2 linked regions of the Macaca mulatta genome follow. Each later gene encodes a partner of the first gene's protein in a complex. Links are inferred from orthologs where the notes say so. Each region holds a gene or a part of one and is shown in the gene's direction. Other genes may lie near its edges. The genes, in order: ACVR2B and GDF2.

What was found.
Region 2: the proteins of ACVR2B (region 1) and GDF2 are in contact, whole or in part, in a crystal structure (PDB 4FAO), measured with the Homo sapiens proteins. The link is inferred for Macaca mulatta from reciprocal best matches to the Homo sapiens genes ACVR2B and GDF2. Residues at the interface, in NP_001097.2 of Homo sapiens: Asn35, Glu39, Cys49, Glu50, Glu52, Lys55, Leu57, Tyr60, Ser62, Arg64, Val73, Lys74, Cys77, Trp78, Leu79, Asp81, Phe82, Asn83, Glu94, Gln98, Val99, Phe101; in NP_057288.1 of Homo sapiens: Arg333, Ile346, Ala347, Pro348, Lys349, Glu350, Tyr351, Glu352, Lys397, Ser399, Pro400, Ile401, Ser402, Val403, Leu404, Lys406, Gly410, Val411, Pro412, Thr413, Leu414, Tyr416, His417.

The regions. Positions count from the first base shown.
Region 1 is NC_133407.1:100,747,546-100,755,997, forward strand, and holds the start of ACVR2B (activin receptor type-2B), read left to right. Parts: upstream 1-2,856; 5' UTR 2,857-3,003; coding exon 3,004-3,118; intron 3,119-8,452. UniProt on the Homo sapiens protein: Transmembrane serine/threonine kinase activin type-2 receptor forming an activin receptor complex with activin type-1 serine/threonine kinase receptors (ACVR1, ACVR1B or ACVR1c).
Region 2 is NC_133414.1:61,450,482-61,458,970, forward strand, and holds the start of GDF2 (growth/differentiation factor 2), read left to right. Parts: upstream 1-4,100; 5' UTR 4,101-4,532; coding exon 4,533-4,878; intron 4,879-6,715; coding exon 6,716-7,659; 3' UTR 7,660-8,489. UniProt on the Homo sapiens protein: Potent circulating inhibitor of angiogenesis. Signals through the type I activin receptor ACVRL1 but not other Alks. Signaling through SMAD1 in endothelial cells requires TGF-beta coreceptor endoglin/ENG.

The DNA.
Region 1 (8,452 bases):
TTAAACAGCAGAAATTTATATCGTCAAAGTTCTGGAAGCTGTAAGTCTGAGCCCAGGGTGCAGGGTGCTGGCATGGTTGGGTTCTGGTGAAGACCCTCTTCCTGGCTTGCAGACATCTGCCTTCTTACTACATTCTCACATGATGGGTGGGATGGGGCTAGGGGGTGTTTTCCTCTGTTTATAAGACTGTGAATCCTCTCCCCATTACCTGAGGGCCCCACCCTTCTGACTTAATCTAACCTTCACTACTTCCCAAAGGTCCCATCTCCAAATACCATTACACTGGGGGTCAGAGCTTCATCATATGAATTTTGGGGGTACACATGCTTTCCATGAGATGGAATGAACTTTAATAGTATATTTTACTGGCCTGGCACAGTGGCTGATGCCTGTAATCCCAGCACTTCAGGAGACCGAGGTAGGAGGATCACGAGGTCAAGAGATCGAGACCATCCTGGCCAACATGGTGAAACCCCATCTCTACTAAAAATACAAAAATTAGCTGGGCGTGGTGACACATACCTGTAGTCCCAGCTACTCCGGAGGCTGAGGCAGGAGAATCGCATGAACCTGGGAGGTGGAGGTTGCAGTGAGCCGAGATCGTGTCACTGCACTCCAGCCTGGTGACAGAGTGAGGCTCCATCTCAATAAAAAAGTGTATTTCACTTAATTTGATATATACAAAGTAATCATCTCAGTCTGAAATCAGTATTAAAATGAGACATTTTGTGTTCCATTTTTGTACTGTCATCAAAATCCTGTGTGTGCCTTACAGAACATCCTCAACTCCAACTTTCCACATTTCCAGTGCTCTGCGGAACATTTGGCTAGTGGCTACCATATTGGACAATGGAGTCTCAGAAGGGAAGGCAGAATTTATGGTGTAATAAGTGGCACATGGTGCTTGTCACAAGATCAGTCAGTGGTCAGTTAGTTCTTTAATAATTCTTTAAGTCTTTTGTGGTCTGTGTCTGGCCGAGTGTCCTTGGGAAACAAGCCATTTGGCTCTTGCATTTCAGTGGACATCCTGGACACTCAACGCTGTATCCTACAAGAACTCCTAACACCTGTCTCTGTACTTGGGGTTCAGATCAAAGGGCCTATGGGGGTGGAGTGAACAGTATTCTAGGTGAAGTGTCCAGAGCTCTTGGAGAGGGACCTGCCTCCTATCTGTCCCATCAGGAAGTGCAGGCCCTGATTGCTCTGATAGGCTGACCGTTCTTTGACCCAAAGATGTTTCTTGGCCACTTCCTTGGTGGAGGGAACGAGCTTGTGAAGTGAAGTGACTTTCATCCCTCAGGCCTAGTGTAGTGGTAGCTGCCAAGGACATGGGCTGCAGAGCCATGGGCCATGGGTGCCCCTCCCAGGGAAGAGTGTTTTCTGCTATCTGTCCTTGTATCTGCTGGGCACTTGAGGCTCTGCCCCATCTGGGTGAGCTGCCCTTTGGGAGGAATCCCTAGCTCTTGGGGGCCCTTTCAAGACAGATGATGTGAGAAACCTGGCCATCTTTCCAGGCCCTACAGCTGGGTGAAAACATAAGATCTGAACCCCATGGCCTCCCATCGCTTGGGTGGGCCTCTGTGGTATACTACTCTGTGGGTCTTTCTGGGCATCAAGAATCTCCAAAAGCAGCTGAACCTCCGCTGGCACTTCACCTAAGGAGCTCCCGTTATAGGGAGCCAGTGAAGAGCCCACATTCTGTACAGTGGTCCTTGATGTCGTAGACCCCTCTGAGAATCTGATGAAAGCTATGGACCCTTCCCCCAGGAAAATGTAAATCGGTATATGTGTGCATGTGGTTGTACATTGTATGCACCCACTCTGTTTTGTAGATACTGGGAACCTGCTGCCCCCTGATTAAACTCCTTGAAGTCCTGGCTGCCCTGCACATATCCACTGTAGCAGTCCTAAGGGGCAGCTTGTTCTGGGGTGGGAGGGGTGCTTGTTCCACCTTGGTACCTCACTTACTTTGCCTTTTGTGATCCCGCTGGATGTTTAGATTCTAGCCCTGGTGTCTCTTTCCAGAAAGCTGCCCTCTTGAGTGCCTGCCTATGCATTCAGCCCCTCTGCTTGGGAGCTCAGGGTAGTGCAAATGAGAACCAAGGAGTATCAGTTCAGGAGTTTAGATCCACTCACATATACTAACCTGTCACCATGGATTGGGATCTGGAGGGTTGAGGACTGGGTCTGGATAATCTTTTTGTGGGTAACTCCAGATAGACTCTAGATAGTCCTGAGGTAGGGTCCTGGTTGCATGGGCCTCACTCTAGAACGGGGTTTCTCAGCCTTGACACTATTTACATTTTAGGCCTGATGATACTCTGTTGTGTGTGGGTAGTGGTGGGTTGAGCTGTTCTGTGCATTGTAGGATATTCAGCAGTATCCCTACCTCTACCCACAAATTCCAGTAGATCATGTCAACCAAAAATGTTTCCAGATCTTGCTAAAATGTCCCTGGCAGAGGTGAGAGCAAAATCATCTCCTGTTGGGAACCACTGATCCAGAATGTTCTCATGCTTTCAAAGAGGCACACAGTTGTAAGAAGTAGGTAGGGGTAACGGCTTATGAGTGCATATCCATCCCCCCACTCTGGATGCAGGGTTGAAGGTGAGGTTCTCCTCAAGGCCTAGGAGATTCCTGCTTAGTGAAATCTGCTCAGCACGTGAGAGTTTGGTTCAAAATTAGTGGTTCTGGTGTACAGCTTGCCACCGAGGAGAATCCTGGCGTCCTTGAGTTTTCCCAGAAGTGGTTCAGGTTTCAGGGAGGCGGAGGCTGTGGGTGGCTGGGCAGCCTGCCTGCCCGCACCCGCCCACTCGCCTCTGACCGTTGCCTTAAGGCTGGCACTCAGCCTCTTCCTCCCGTACACGCAGAATGTCAGGAAGTGCCTGTTGCTGGGGACTCTCTGCCTGCCCAGCACCCCCTCTCTGCTCACCTAGGGGCCTCAGGAGCTGAGGCTAGCCCTGTCTGCCAAGCGGAGCACTGGGGTTGTAGCAGGCCGTGGGCATGCCCCTTCCCCTGAGCAGACCTGCCGTGTGGCGCTCCGGGGAGCCGCAGAGGCTGTGGGCCTGGAGCCCCCAGGCCGGGGACACCAGGGCAGGTGGGCAGCCTCTCCCCAAAGGTATGGGTGCAAGTCTCTCCCCTCTCTTCAGGGTGTGGTGGCCAGATGGGAATCTGAGGGCAGGGCCAGGCTTCCTGCTGTGGACCTGGGGAGGTGTGGGCAGCGCTGCCTTAGACATGCGGCAGCCAGCACTGGAGGCCCCGGTGGAGCGGTTCGTATCTGTGGAAGCTTGTCTGTTGGGCTTGGCAGGCTGGCAGCCCCCTGTGGCTGCCCCCATGTTTATTTTCTACTCCTACCCTGGCCTGCTTCGAGCTTGGCTAGGGAATGCTTCTGTGGGACTCTCTCTCATCTTGAACTCAGTGAGACACAGTTTGCTGCACTGGGAAGTGATTACAAACTGGACTCTTAGGATGGCGGAAGCATTTTTCAAAGCCCCAGTTTCCAAGTGCTCCACATCACTGGTATGTGAAGTGCTTGCTGAGGTTCAGACTTTAGTTCCATCTGTTTTTGGGGTCTTTACAAAGGGGACTTTATTTCCTTCTCAGAATTCTTTCTCTTCCTTCCCTCCCATTCTGTCACTAATTCTGTATTCCAAAACAGAGACCCACCCCCTTGTTCTGGGCTTCCTTTTTTGGTCTCTCATTCTGCACCAGACTTAGGGGTCCATCCTAGCCCTAGAGGTGCCTATTCCTTGTGGTCCTTGGGGTACCACTCCTGAATGCCCAGGTTTTCCAGGGGTGGAAATGCTGCTGCCTTCTTCTGACTCTTTATTTATTACATTGGTCAGTGATGTCTCTGACTAAGACAATGGTAGGTGCTGGAAATCAACGGATAAAGCAGACTGGGATTGTTCAGGGGTCAGCCATGCCTCTTCCTGCAGGGCCCAGGACCAATAATAGCTTTCTGCCTTCGGATAGCCCCATGCTTTCCTCTGGTTATTCTAGGCTTGCTGTACACATGCATGTGCCTTTTTCAGATTCTTTCTGGGACTGGCAGCTCCAACTGGGTGTTTTCATTCATGGACACATGACCTCTGGAAGCGGGTGTGGAAAGGAAGCCTGTCCCACTGGGCAAATGTGAGGCCCTCTTCCCAGGGGAATGTTGTCTGGACAGGTCTGACCTGCTGGACAATGGGGCTTCTCCCTGGCCAGTTTCTGGGCTGGAGCTGAGGTGTTTTGTGAGGCGAGCTCATGCTCTTTGCGTGTGTTCCTCTGCCGACTATTTCAGTTCCACTCTGACAACCAAGGAAGCTAAAATTAGTTTTGGAGAAGGAAAAGGAAGGCTAGTTGGAAACCCAAGCCCTTGGCTGGAGAATGGAGGAGGCTGCTTCCCAGGTTTGTGCCTGAGCATTTCGGAGGATGAGACCAGACCAGCTGTTATCTGTCCATCTGAGGAGAGGGAGGGGTCCCTGTGGCCTCCCAGACCTGAACCAATTAAAACAGGAGACTGACTTGGAAGCTGACTCTCTCAAGTGTTGATGCCAGGATGTTTTTTCCTTCTGGCTTGTGCAGTGGTGCACAGTGTTTTCAGGTATGAGGACAATGCCTTTTAATGAATGTCCAGTGTCATTGATAACCCTCCTCCCCTTCCCCTCCAACTGGATTATTATGTGTCCGTTGATTTAGAAAGCACGCATGAGTTTTCCCAGCCTGGGCTGGCAACCATGGTTTAAGAACTCTTATTTTATGCACTTTTTGGGAATTTCCTTCTCACTGAAGTTTGATATTGGGTTAGAGGGGAGTCCTGTGGCCCAGGGCTCACACAGGAGGTCCAGCTTCTCTGTGTAGTGAGGGCATAGTGAGTAAAGGCTCATCTGCTCTGGGGCTTAGAAACTAGAGGAGCAGAAGGGTTAGAGAGATGAATTCTGGTTTCTCTTCCCACCTGGCTGGCTCCTCCTGTGAACCTTCTGGCTGAGGGTGAGACCTACAAGGCTGTGTGGGAGTAGAAGGAGGGCCAGGGTAATGCAGTCTATCTCCCCTGCCCTGAAACCTCCCATCCAAACCTCCCATCACTGAAAGGTTAGCCACCCTGGGGTGTAGTTTGGGGAGTAGAAGTCACTTCAGCCCTAACTAATTTTTCCATTTCTAAAAACAAATTATTACTTTTTAAACAAGTAATATACCTACATTGTATCACAGAAATTTAGATGTTACGGATAAAACTAGGGCCTCCTTTTATCATCTCTGTTCCCCATCTGAGGCCTCCTCCAAACGTAATCCTTTGAAGGTTGAGGTATATTCTTCCAGACATTTTTACCTGTGCATCTATAGAAATACTTACAGAAATAGACAGGTTTTTGGCCAGGCACCGTGGCTCACACCTGTAATCCCAGCACTTTGGGAGGCTGAGGCGGGCAAATCATGAGGTCAGGAGATTGAGACCATCCTGGCTAACACAGTGAAACCCCGTCTCTACTAAAAATACAAAAAATTAGCCGGACGTGGTGGTGGATGCCTGTAGTCCCAGCTACTCGGGAGGCTGAGGCAGGAGAATGGCGTGAACCCGGGAGGCAGAGCTTGCAGTGAGCCAAGATAGCGCCACTGCAGTCCAGCCTGGACAACTGAGTGAGTCTCCATCTCAAAAAAAAAAAAAAAAGAAATAGGCTTTTTTTCCACCTAAAATGGTATTCAAGCATTTAATTGAAGTATAAACATATACAGAAGAATGTACAAGTAATTAAACAGAAGTGACAGCTGAGAAGCATTTTCACAAACTGAATACACTGGTGTAGTCAGCATCCAAGTCAAGAATCAGAAATTTTCCAGCCACCCATCCCCAGCAAGTCCTGTTTTGTTCCATTTCAGTCTCTACCAACACCCACTAAGGTTAACTACTATTCTGACTTCTAACAGCATAAAATAGTTTCGTCTGTTTCTGTGTTTCGTATGAATAGAACCTTACAGAATAAACTGCTTTGCATCCATCTTTTCCTCACCATGTTTGTGACTTTAACCAAGGTTTTTTTTTTTTTTTTTTTTTTTGAGACGGAGTCTTGCTCTGTCGCCCAGGCTGGAGTGCAGTGGCCGGATCTCAGCTCACTGCAAGCTCCGCCTCCCGGGTTTACGCCATTCTCCTACCTCAGCCTCCCGAGTAGCTGGGACTACAGGTGCCCGCCAACCCACCCGGCTAGTTTTTTTTTGCATTTTTTAGTAGAGATGGGGTTTCACTGTGTAGCCAGGATGGTCTTGATCTCCTGACCTTGTGATCTGCCCGTCTCGGCCTCCCAAAGTGCTGGGATTACAGGCTTGAGCCACCGCGCCCGGCCTGGACTTTATGATTGTATAGAATGTATGCAGACTGTTTCTCAAGGATAGATGAGAAAATAACTTCTGGATTTTAAGGCGTGTATTACTGGTTTTAATAGATACTGAAAAATGGTTACACTATTTTATTTATTTATTTATTTTTTGAGGCTACCCAAGTGATGGCAGTGGGGGTAGAAGCTGGGTGATTTGGCAGTTGGCTCTCTGCGGTAATCTGTGAGCATCCTTCCCACCCCCACACCCCAACCCCTGCTGACATGCTAGATTACAGAGGTTAGAAATAGCCTGGCTTCAAGAAGGATGCTGGGACATGGGAAGGGCTCATTTCCACTGGCTTAATGTATGAGGAGACCTGGAGATAACTTCTCGTGCCTGCGTCTCCTACCTTGTGCCTGAGTCTCCTGGGTACTGTGCTGATGAGGGAAGTAGCAGTGGACAAGCCAGGATGTGCTGGTCTGGGTTTGGGATGGAAGTGCATATGTGCGTTCACTTACCAGGCTCCATGCTGCCTGCAGACTCTGAAGAGACTAAGGCACTTGCTGAAGGTTGCTGAAGAGCTCTGGGTAACGGCACTACTGGCGAACCTACTGCATTTGACAAAATCTGAGTGTGACAAATTCTAATTTCATATGTGGTGATAATGATGGTGGGGGTATTGGAGAAACCTGTAGAAAAACTATTTTAGAGTATGGTGAGAAGCTTTTCATGACAGAAGGAGCTCTGGTGAGTTTCTGTTCCTGGCTGAGTGTATGCCTTGTTCCCTGTATAACTCTCTGCCACAGTTGGCAGAAGACTTAGGGAAGATAGTTTGGGATGACTTGTTCTCCAAAGCTCTTGCTTCCCAGTCTTGTTCTTCAGCTTGCTGCCTACTCTTTACTGTTATGTTAGGATTCTTTATGTAAGTCCACTTGTCAGGCCCTGCTAATGAATTTAGATGACACTCAAGTTTGTGGAACTGTTTCTAGTACAAATGATACTCCAATCATCTTTCCCACATTATACGTATGATGTGCACTGTTTGTGTCTTAGTCTGCTCAGGTTGCCATAATGGAATACCATAGACTGGGTGGCTTAAACAACAGAAATTTCTTTTCCTGCAATTCTGGGGGCTGGAAGTTAAAGATGAAGGTGCTGTCAGGATTGGTTTCCAGTGATTCCTCTCTCCTGGGTTGGCATATGGTAGCCTTCTTGCTTTGTCCTTTTTGCTGTGTGTATCCACTCCAGGTGTCTCTTCTTATAAGGATGCCAGTCCTGTTGGACTGGAGGCCCACCTTTATCACCTCATTTAGCCTTAATTACCGTCTTAAAGGCCCTATCTGTAAATATGTTAATGGCAAAACCCGCAATTACTTTTGCACCAACTCAGTAGTCACATTGGAGGTTAGGGCCTCAACCTATGAATTTTGGTGGGACTCACTTCAATCTATGACTGTCTGAAACAATAAAGTTTGGTTGAAAGTGAATTCTGTTTTCCTCTTGAGTGACATTTTGGAATGGAAGTTACTTTTTTCAGGGCTTTGCCCTGGTGTCTCTCTTGTTCTTGCTTAATACTGTCCATGGACAATCTTATCTACACTGGTGGGCTTAATTTCTGTGTATGTGTGCAGGTTCCCTTGCCTTTGGGCATGTTACGATCCTGAAAATATGTCTAAAAGCTGGGTAAAAAGTAGATATGGAGATGTCCTTTTCTGATAATCAGGACCAAATCTCTTTCTAAAGGTAACTGGAGAAACTGGAAAAAATAAAACTTCTCTGGTTGAAGGCATTGTATATCTAAGAAGATACTGAAGACCTACCAGGCCAGTATCTGCATGAGAACAAAGGCCTAGGGTGATGATTTTGGTATTTGGGTCTGTTTTTAGTCATAGGGTCAACTGAGAGGCTGCATTTGTAGCTTTGTGGGGCTGGGAAGACAGGAATTGGAATTCTAAGCAAAGGGTGGGCAGAGTCAATCACTTACTTGGGATTGAGATCCTAAAGATATAGAAGTTAGGGGGACCCACATGTAGACAAACACTAAAGTTAGATTGAAATATTCTGGGGTGCTGGGTGTGGTGGTGCACACCTATAATCCCAGCTACTTGGGAGACTGAGGTGGGGAGGATCATTTGAGCCCAGTAGTTCAAAACCA
Region 2 (8,489 bases), on another chromosome or scaffold:
TATTTAAAAAGCATTTCTGGAAAGCCGCTTAGCAATGCTTACCAAGAGCTTTGCAAATGTTACGTGTTCCTTGACCCAGTTATTCCACTTCCAATGACCTGTCCTATAAAATAATAATAAAATAATACAAAATATACACTATAACAATGTAAGATAATGTGTCTTGCAACATTATCTTAGTAGTCTTGATTGTCCTACCATCGGAAAATATTTGAATAAATTAAGATATGTCCATACAATTGGAAAATGTTTAGTCATTAAAAATGAAGTTCATGGGCTGGACGCAGTGGCTCACGCCTGTAATCCCAGCACTTTGTGTAGTGGATGCTGGCAGATCACTTGAGTCCAGGAGTTTGAGACCAAACTGAGCAACGTGACGGAACCCCGTCTCTACAAAAAATATAAAAATTAGGCTGGCGTGGTGGCTCATGCCTGTGGTCCCAGCTACTCAGGAGGCTGAGGTGGAAGGATCACCTGGGACCAGGGAGATCGAGGCTACAGTGAGCCATGATCACGCCACTGCACTCCAGCCTGGGTGACAGAGTGAGATCTCATCTCAAAAAAAAAAAAAAAAATGAAGTTCATGAAAAGTTTTTCATGACATGGGAAGGTATTTATACAGTCCTTCCCCAGTACCTCCTCCTAGTGCCCAGATCTAGACCCTTCTGGGGTTCATGCCAACCTGACTCCCTCCCTGTGCTGTCTGCGCCACTCCCATCCCAGGGTCCTAAGCCAATCAGGACATTCAGGACATTGCGTTCCCCCAGCCACGGTGATTGGCTGGAGTGTTTGCAGATTATCCAATCAGGGTCAGAGAGACACCATGAGACTCCCTAGGACTTTCCGGAAAAGAGGCTTTTGCTCCTCTTTGACCCCACCCAGCCCCCCATGTGAAAGGGATACAGGCCGGCTGCAGTGACTGGCCACCTCGCCAAGACACAGAGAGATGGAGCATGAAGCCAACACAGTGGAAGGCAGGACTGAGAGAGGAGAAAGCATGGCTAGAACTTTGCCTGTCCTGTAGCTCAAGCCATGCTAAAGCCAAACCGTTGCCAACCCAGAAGTTTTCATTAGTCAGGTGCAATCCACTTTGCTTAGGCCTGTTTGGATTCTGCTTTTCTGCAGCCTGTGACAAAAGGAATCCAAATGACAACATTTAAAATTTTTTTAATTAAAAAAATTTTTTTCAAAGAGAAGCCCATACATATCAAACCTTGTATACCTCAAGTGGCTTCGAAAGTAAACCTAAGGCAGAGATTGAAGACACTTTAGTGTACATTTTCTTAAATTTTATGCCAGCCTTTGCTTTATTTAGGTATAGACACATAAGACTACCATAATTCAGATCTTTAGTCTTTGAATAATCATGTGGATAGACCTCCCTGGGAAGTCGGTGAAGAATTAGAAAGTACACAGTTTGAAGGAGGAGGGGGCAAACGAGAGATAAATAAGACCTTCTGTGGTTCAAGTGAGGCAGCTCCTTCCTGAAACCCCAACAATGCAAAGCTGGTGATAGCAGAGGGAGGGGTCCTTCTTCAGGAGGGAACACCCAGGGTCTGTTTCCTCCTGGGAAAATCAGAACAAGTTTGAGACTTGTTCCCTAAGACTCAGAGTTAGGGGGATTTTCTCAGATGGACCAAGGTCCATTTGTATGAAAAGGTAACCAAGTCCCTGAAATCACCACCTGATGAAAGTGGGAGTCCCTCTGATGACCTAGGCCACCCGTAAGAGCCTAGAAATTTGAGAAAGGGCAGGTTAGAATTGGTATGTGACCATAGCTGGCCTCTTCTCTCCACCCAGCCACTGGCCACAGAGGCATGCATGCCGGAGGTGGGTAAGCCCGGCATATGTCTAAGAAGACTGTTACCTTGTTGCCTCATGGGGCGCACCCTACAGACCTGGGCTAGAGGGCGTCCCAGCAGCTAAGAACAAGCAGCCGTTTAGACATGTAGGACCAGTGCCCAACAGCAAAGCCAGTGTTGTTGAGAAGCAACAGCAGGTGGGACCCCTCTCTCCCTCCCGCTTCCCAGCGTGAAGAAGCTGGACTAACACCTTCCCACACCATCTCCTTTGGACTTAATTGACACATGGGGCACTTGGACTATTCAGGAAAGGAGAAGACCAGACTTCCTGATGATATGGATCAGGAAACCTCAAGCAATCCATTTAAAACAATAAAAGAGATGTGAACATATTGATCCCTTGAGTTTGTGAGGCAAATCATTTCAGATATACACCGGCATGTTGCATTGCACAGCTCCAGGGAAAGCCATCCATGTCAGAGTCTGTGTGACCAGCACCCACAGGCAGCTGTGATGACCCTGGACATAGTCAGGTCCATAGTCCTTCATCTGAGACCCCCAAATAAAAAACCATCTAAGAACCTAAAGTTTCTTTTAATTCCTTTTCTGGGAAAACTTGACCTGAATGGACATTTGTGGCTTTATTTGTTTCACTGCAGAAATATTCATGTGTGTCATTATAAGGTGTCGTCTCTGACCCCTTTGGGAATGTTATTGCATATACACAATACAAAATCCCCCAAATCTGAAACTATCGAAGTCGCAACACACTCTTGGCCACAAGGGTTTCAGATATAGGATTGTGGAGCGGATGTGTCTCAAAATGCTAACCATGAGCATCACTGGATGATTAAACTGTAGGTTATTTATTTTCTCTTTAACAATGTTTTCCATTTCCCAAGCTTTCTGCACTATAGACTACTGTTATAACTGGGAAAAAATGTCACATTTGAAAAATAACATCAGGTAGCAGCGCCTTGCTCCTACTAGAGCACATCCAGGCCCCTAGGCTATTCATACTCTGCTCAGCCTCTCATGTGTGAAAAGCTCCTGGTCAGACCACGATGCAGGCATCTGCCCTGTCCTCACTCCTCCCAGACCACACCCCACTCTGCATTTGCAGCTCCATTTCTTGGGCATGGCACCCATTTATTCATCTTTTCTCTGCCCCATGGAATTCTTGCGCTGAGCTGGATCAAAGCCCAGCGCACTTCCAGTCCTCTTCCCAAGCAGCATTTCTGAAGCAGCACGCTTCCCGTCTTCCCCTGGCCCATGTCATCAAAGGACAGAGATAGCAAGTTCTGTCCAGGCCCAGCCATTCAGGGGCTCCTGATTTCACCCATCCTCGTCTGCAATCTGACCACAGCATGCTGTGGCCCCTCCTGCACCCCACTAAACCTGCTCAGCTCTCTGCAACCTCTCCCCGACAGCCTCACCAGCATGGAGCATCTTCCCCAGAGTAAACCACCAGGCACAGCATACCCTGGAGTATTTCTAACCATGCTCCTTCTTTGCTGTACTCAAAGCCACACATGATGGAAATGGACAGAGTCTTAAGTGTGGACACACTGCTCTTAACACAGTCCCTAGGGCCCTTTCCTGGGCCACAGCTTGTCAGCCTCCAAAGGCCAGGGAATCATCTTCTTGGCATGTACCAGTCTCAGAACAACTCACCTACTCCCCTGTCTACCAGATTGCGTGGTTCTCCCTGCTGATGAGTGTGGGCCAGGTGGCTGCCAAGTCAATGTGAGCTAAGACCACCCCACAACAGGCCAGTGCCAGAGCTGGGATGCAGGGATGTGGGGAGCTCCCTGCAGGCTGCAGTGTGTTGTGGAGCTCTGACAGAGCAGGCTGGGGGAACCCGGGGCTCCAGCTCAATCAGGTGTGGGCTGGAGAAGGGGCATCCAGAATGCTGCCACCAAGCCAGCCTGGGGCACAGCATCCTCTTAACCCCTACAACTATCTTCTGAATGGGAGGCTCGTAGAGTGCGGTGACTTGTTCCAGGTGACATTTGCAGGGAATCGGTGAGGGAGCTGAGATCCCAGCCTCTGTCTAGTCTGACTTATCACCACACTAAATTGCACGAGAGCCATATTCACTCGTGATCTCTAATGCTCAGCAATGCATCCCACCAACAGAGCAGGGAGCCTTGCTCGCAGGTTCCGACTCTGTAAGGAGCAGGCCTCTTCTGAGCCTTGATGTGGTCCCCACACTCTCACCATCTCCCCAGCCCCCACAGTTCACTGTGCTCTTGCGCTGTCCTTTCTATATTTGGAGGGCTTCTTGGTCTTGTTTCCTGGATTCTTCACTACTGTGGCCCAGGAGATGGAGCATATGTCACCCTGCCTGGAGATTCTTCTGAAGAGCCCTGGCAAGGAAATGAGAAAGGATCCTAATTAGGGGGCAATAACCCCCTGGAGAAGCACAGATTCCTTACAGTAGGCCGTGTCCTTCCCACATGCCCTGTGTGTTTGTCAGATGTTTATAGAGCCTTCATTAACGGAAGGCTCCCTCAGATAAGACGTCGGAGCGCGGCATCGAGGACCAGATAAGCACAAGTGGAGGACAATCCAGCCCGGCAGCGGGCGAAAGTGGGCGCTGGCCAGGACGGTTCCTTCAGAGCAAACAGCAGGGAGATGCCGGCCTGCTCCTTCCCGGCTCCTCCCCGTGCCCGCTAACACAGTACGGCCGCCTGCAGTCTCCTCTCTGGGTGATTGCGTGGGCCCAAGATGTGTCCTGGGGCACTATGGGTGGCCCTGCCCCTGCTGTCCCTGCTGGCCGGCTCCCTGCAGGGGAAGCCACTGCAGAGCTGGGGGCGAGGGTCTGCTGGGGGAACTGCCCACAACCCACTGGGGGTGCCTGGAGGTGAGCTGCCGGAGCACACTTTCAACCTGAAGATGTTTCTGGAGAACATGAAGGTGGATTTCTTGCGCAGCCTTAACCTGAGCGGGGTCCCTTCGCAGGACAAAACCAGGGTGGAGCCACCGCAGTACATGATCGATCTGTACAACAGGTACACGTCTGATAAGTCGACTACGCCAGCGTCCAACATCGTGCGGAGCTTCAGCATGGAAGGTAGGGTCTCCGCTTGCACCAGACGCGCTGGGGTAGGACTCACAGGTCCACAGCTGCTTTCACCAGGGTGGAGGCCGCTGGTCATAGGAGGCTCTTCAAGCTTCCATTTAAATTAGTTACAATGAAATAAAATTAAAACTTAGTTCTTTAGCCTCACCAGCTTCCTTTCAAATGTGTGGCTAATGGCTTCCCTATCAGGCAGTGCAGACTGCAGAACATTTCCATGGTCACTGAGAGTTCTACTCGGCGCTTCTGCTCTGAAGGATTCACCTTCCCCAGGCTGTGCGCCACATTTCACACAGCAGGTGCACAGGGATGCCAGCTCCCTTTTTTCCACCCCTTCTGTTTACTCTCCTCTTCTTTCCGTCTCTCCCCTCTGATTCACTTCTCTTCCTTTTCCCCTTCCCTTCCTGTCCCCTTCCTACTTCAAAACAAAACAGACAACCTATTTCACCTCCAACTAACTGGTATATTTTTAAACTTTGAAAGCACAGTTATTCCTTTCTTGTGAAAGGGTTTTAAAAATCAGATGAAATTCTTTGACAGAGAAGTGTTGAAAGAGAACCTAATTGTTTTTAAATAGAAATGTATCTGATTTAGAAGGACTAGAAGATAACAAACACGGACCTAGGACCTATGTCCTAACTCAGTCAAGCTCACATGATGCAGGGGGAAATAAGTTTCTGAACAGTGAAACTGTTCAGTCAAAACTTGCAGCCACCAAGGGTTCCCACCCATGTCACCTAGGAAGTGTTAAGCCGCTGGATTCTGACCCAGGCCTGTCCGTCTGCACAGCCGGCTTTTCCTGCTGCTGCCGTCTCCCTCTGAATGTCCAGGAGCACAGAGCCTCTCCCCTCCTGGGTCTGAGACTTGCAAATGGCTTAGGGGCCTGGCTCCATACCGCATCCAGGCCAGAGCTAACCAGTCTGCAGAGGCAGGACTGGCACTTCAAAACCTGCCAGCTAGGTTTCCCTATAGCACCGGGTCTCCACACATGTGGGCGCATAGCAAGTGCCCAGAAAATGCAACCTCTTTTCCCTGTCTGTGAACCAGCCGTGGTATAGCAGGAGTGTGCTAACGACAAAGTGTCAGCCCAGGATAAATGGGATATTGAGTTAACTATGTGGCTAAAAGGCAAGCCCCATTTTTGCTTGACATGACAAAGCAATTGAAGCTAATAGATTTTTTTCCTGAAACACTAAAACCAATTAATCACTTATGCTTTGTTCAGAAATTACAATTTCAAATGATGCATACACTGTTTAGAGGCTGAGATTTTTGATATTGTCTTAATATTGGGATTTCACTGTCCCCACCCAGGATCTTGCCTTTAAATTCGTGTACTCAGGATCTTCACTCAGGATCTGACAGTGAGTTTTGCTGTTTTCTTTATGTACTCACTAGCTGTGTGCTAGTAAGTCCCAGGATACTTAACTAGCTGCGTGCATTTTGGCAATTAACTGCCTTGAATCCCAGTCTCCACATCTGCAAATGTGGAATAATAATTAGATCCTCCCAGGGTGAGTGCGAGGATTAAGGTGAAATTTACACTGCAAAGCTCCCAGTGTAATGCCTGGCACACAGTAGATGCTCAATAAACAGTAGGAACTGTCAATCCCAATTAGAGGCATCTCCTGCCTTTGCTTTTCTTTGGAAGATCTTAAGTATACCTTTGAAAATACTCTTATAACTTAAGGGCTTGGGTGAAACCAAATAGAGATAATACAGACCAAAACTGTTATCCCAGATGCTCTTCTGTCTAAACCCTGAGACTCAGCTTCAGTGTCATGGAAACAGACCCTTCGGCAGATGCCCACCAGGTGTGTTTGCATTTCAGATGCCATCTCCATGACTGCCACGGAGGACTTCCCCTTCCAGAAGCACATCTTGCTCTTCAACATCTCCATTCCCAGGCACGAGCAGATCACCAGAGCTGAGCTCCGACTCTATGTCTCCTGTCAAAATCACATGGACCACTCTCACGACCTGAAAGGAAGCATGGTCATTTATGATGTTCTGGATGGAACAGATGCCTGGGATAGTGCTGCGGAGACCAAGACCTTCCTGGTGTCCCAGGACATTCGGGATGAGGGCTGGGAGACCTTGGAAGTGTCCAGCGCCGTGAAGCGTTGGGTCCGGTCCGACTCCACCAAGAGCAAAAATAAGCTGGAAGTGACTGTGGAGAGCCACAGGAAGGGCTGTGACAAGCTGGACATCAGTGTCCCCCCAGGTTCCAGAAACCTGCCCTTCTTTGTCGTCTTCTCCAATGACCACAGCAGTGGGACCAAGGAGACCAGGCTGGAGCTGAGGGAGATGATCAGCCATGAGCAAGAGAGTGTGCTCAAGAAGCTGTCCAAGGAGGGCTCCACAGAGGCAGGTGAGAGCAGCCACGAGGAGGACGCAGATGGCCACGTGGCTGTGGGGTCGACTTTAGCCAGGCGGAAAAGGAGCACCGGGGCTGGCAGCCACTGTCAGAAGACCTCCCTGCGGGTAAACTTCGAGGACATCGGCTGGAACAGCTGGATCATTGCGCCCAAGGAGTACGAAGCCTACGAGTGTAAGGGTGGCTGCTTCTTCCCCTTGGCTGACGATGTGACGCCGACGAAACACGCTATCGTGCAGACCCTGGTGCATCTCAAGTTCCCCACAAAGGTGGGCAAAGCCTGCTGTGTGCCCACCAAACTGAGCCCCATCTCCATCCTCTACAAGGATGACATGGGAGTGCCCACCCTCAAGTACCACTACGAGGGCATGAGTGTGGCAGAGTGTGGGTGCAGGTAGTACCTGCCTGCGGGGCTGGGGAGGCAGGCCAAAGGGGCTCCACATGAGAGGTCCTGCATCCCCCTGGGCACAACAAGGACTGATTCTATCTGCATGCCAGCCTGGAGGAGGAAAGGGAGCCTGCTCTCCCTCCCCACCCCCCAACCAAAGCATACACCACTGAGCTCAACTGCCAGGGAAGGCTAAGGAAATGGGGATTTGAGCACAACGGGAAAGCCTGGGAGGGTTGTTGGGGTGCAAGGAGGTGATGAAAAGGAGACAAGGGGAAAAGTAATCCAGAGTCAACAGAAAACAACAGCAGTGAGCCAGAGGAGCACAGGTGGGCAGGTGACTGCAGAGATTGATGGAGATTAGAAAGGTGGAGGAGGCTGGCTTATTCCAAAACCCTTGGGGAGTAGAGGGAAGGAGCAGGCTGCACGCCACACCCATCACTGCATGTTATTTCCTACAATCCAGTTAGAGGGGCATGGCTTCCAATTTAGAGACAGAGAGACAGAAACACAGGCAGATCAAGTAGCATTGGTCAATGGCATGATTCCAACCCAGAGTTGTGGGACACCAAAGCCCAGGATCTTTCCAAGTGCCCCGCTGCAGTTAAGCAGGTCCTCTCCAGCTAAAGAGCAGTGAGACATTGGGAGCCCAGGAGTGTTGAGGCCGGGCCCGGCTGAAGCCCATCAGTCACAAGTGTGACTGGGCTACTTGTCACATACAGGGCGTGGTCTGGCCACTGTTGCCAGTGCTCACTCAGCGGCCAAATGCTTTTTAATATCACCCCTGAGGCACTGAAAAACTAACCCCAGGCCAACTGCAGGACAGAGAGAGAGGTCAGG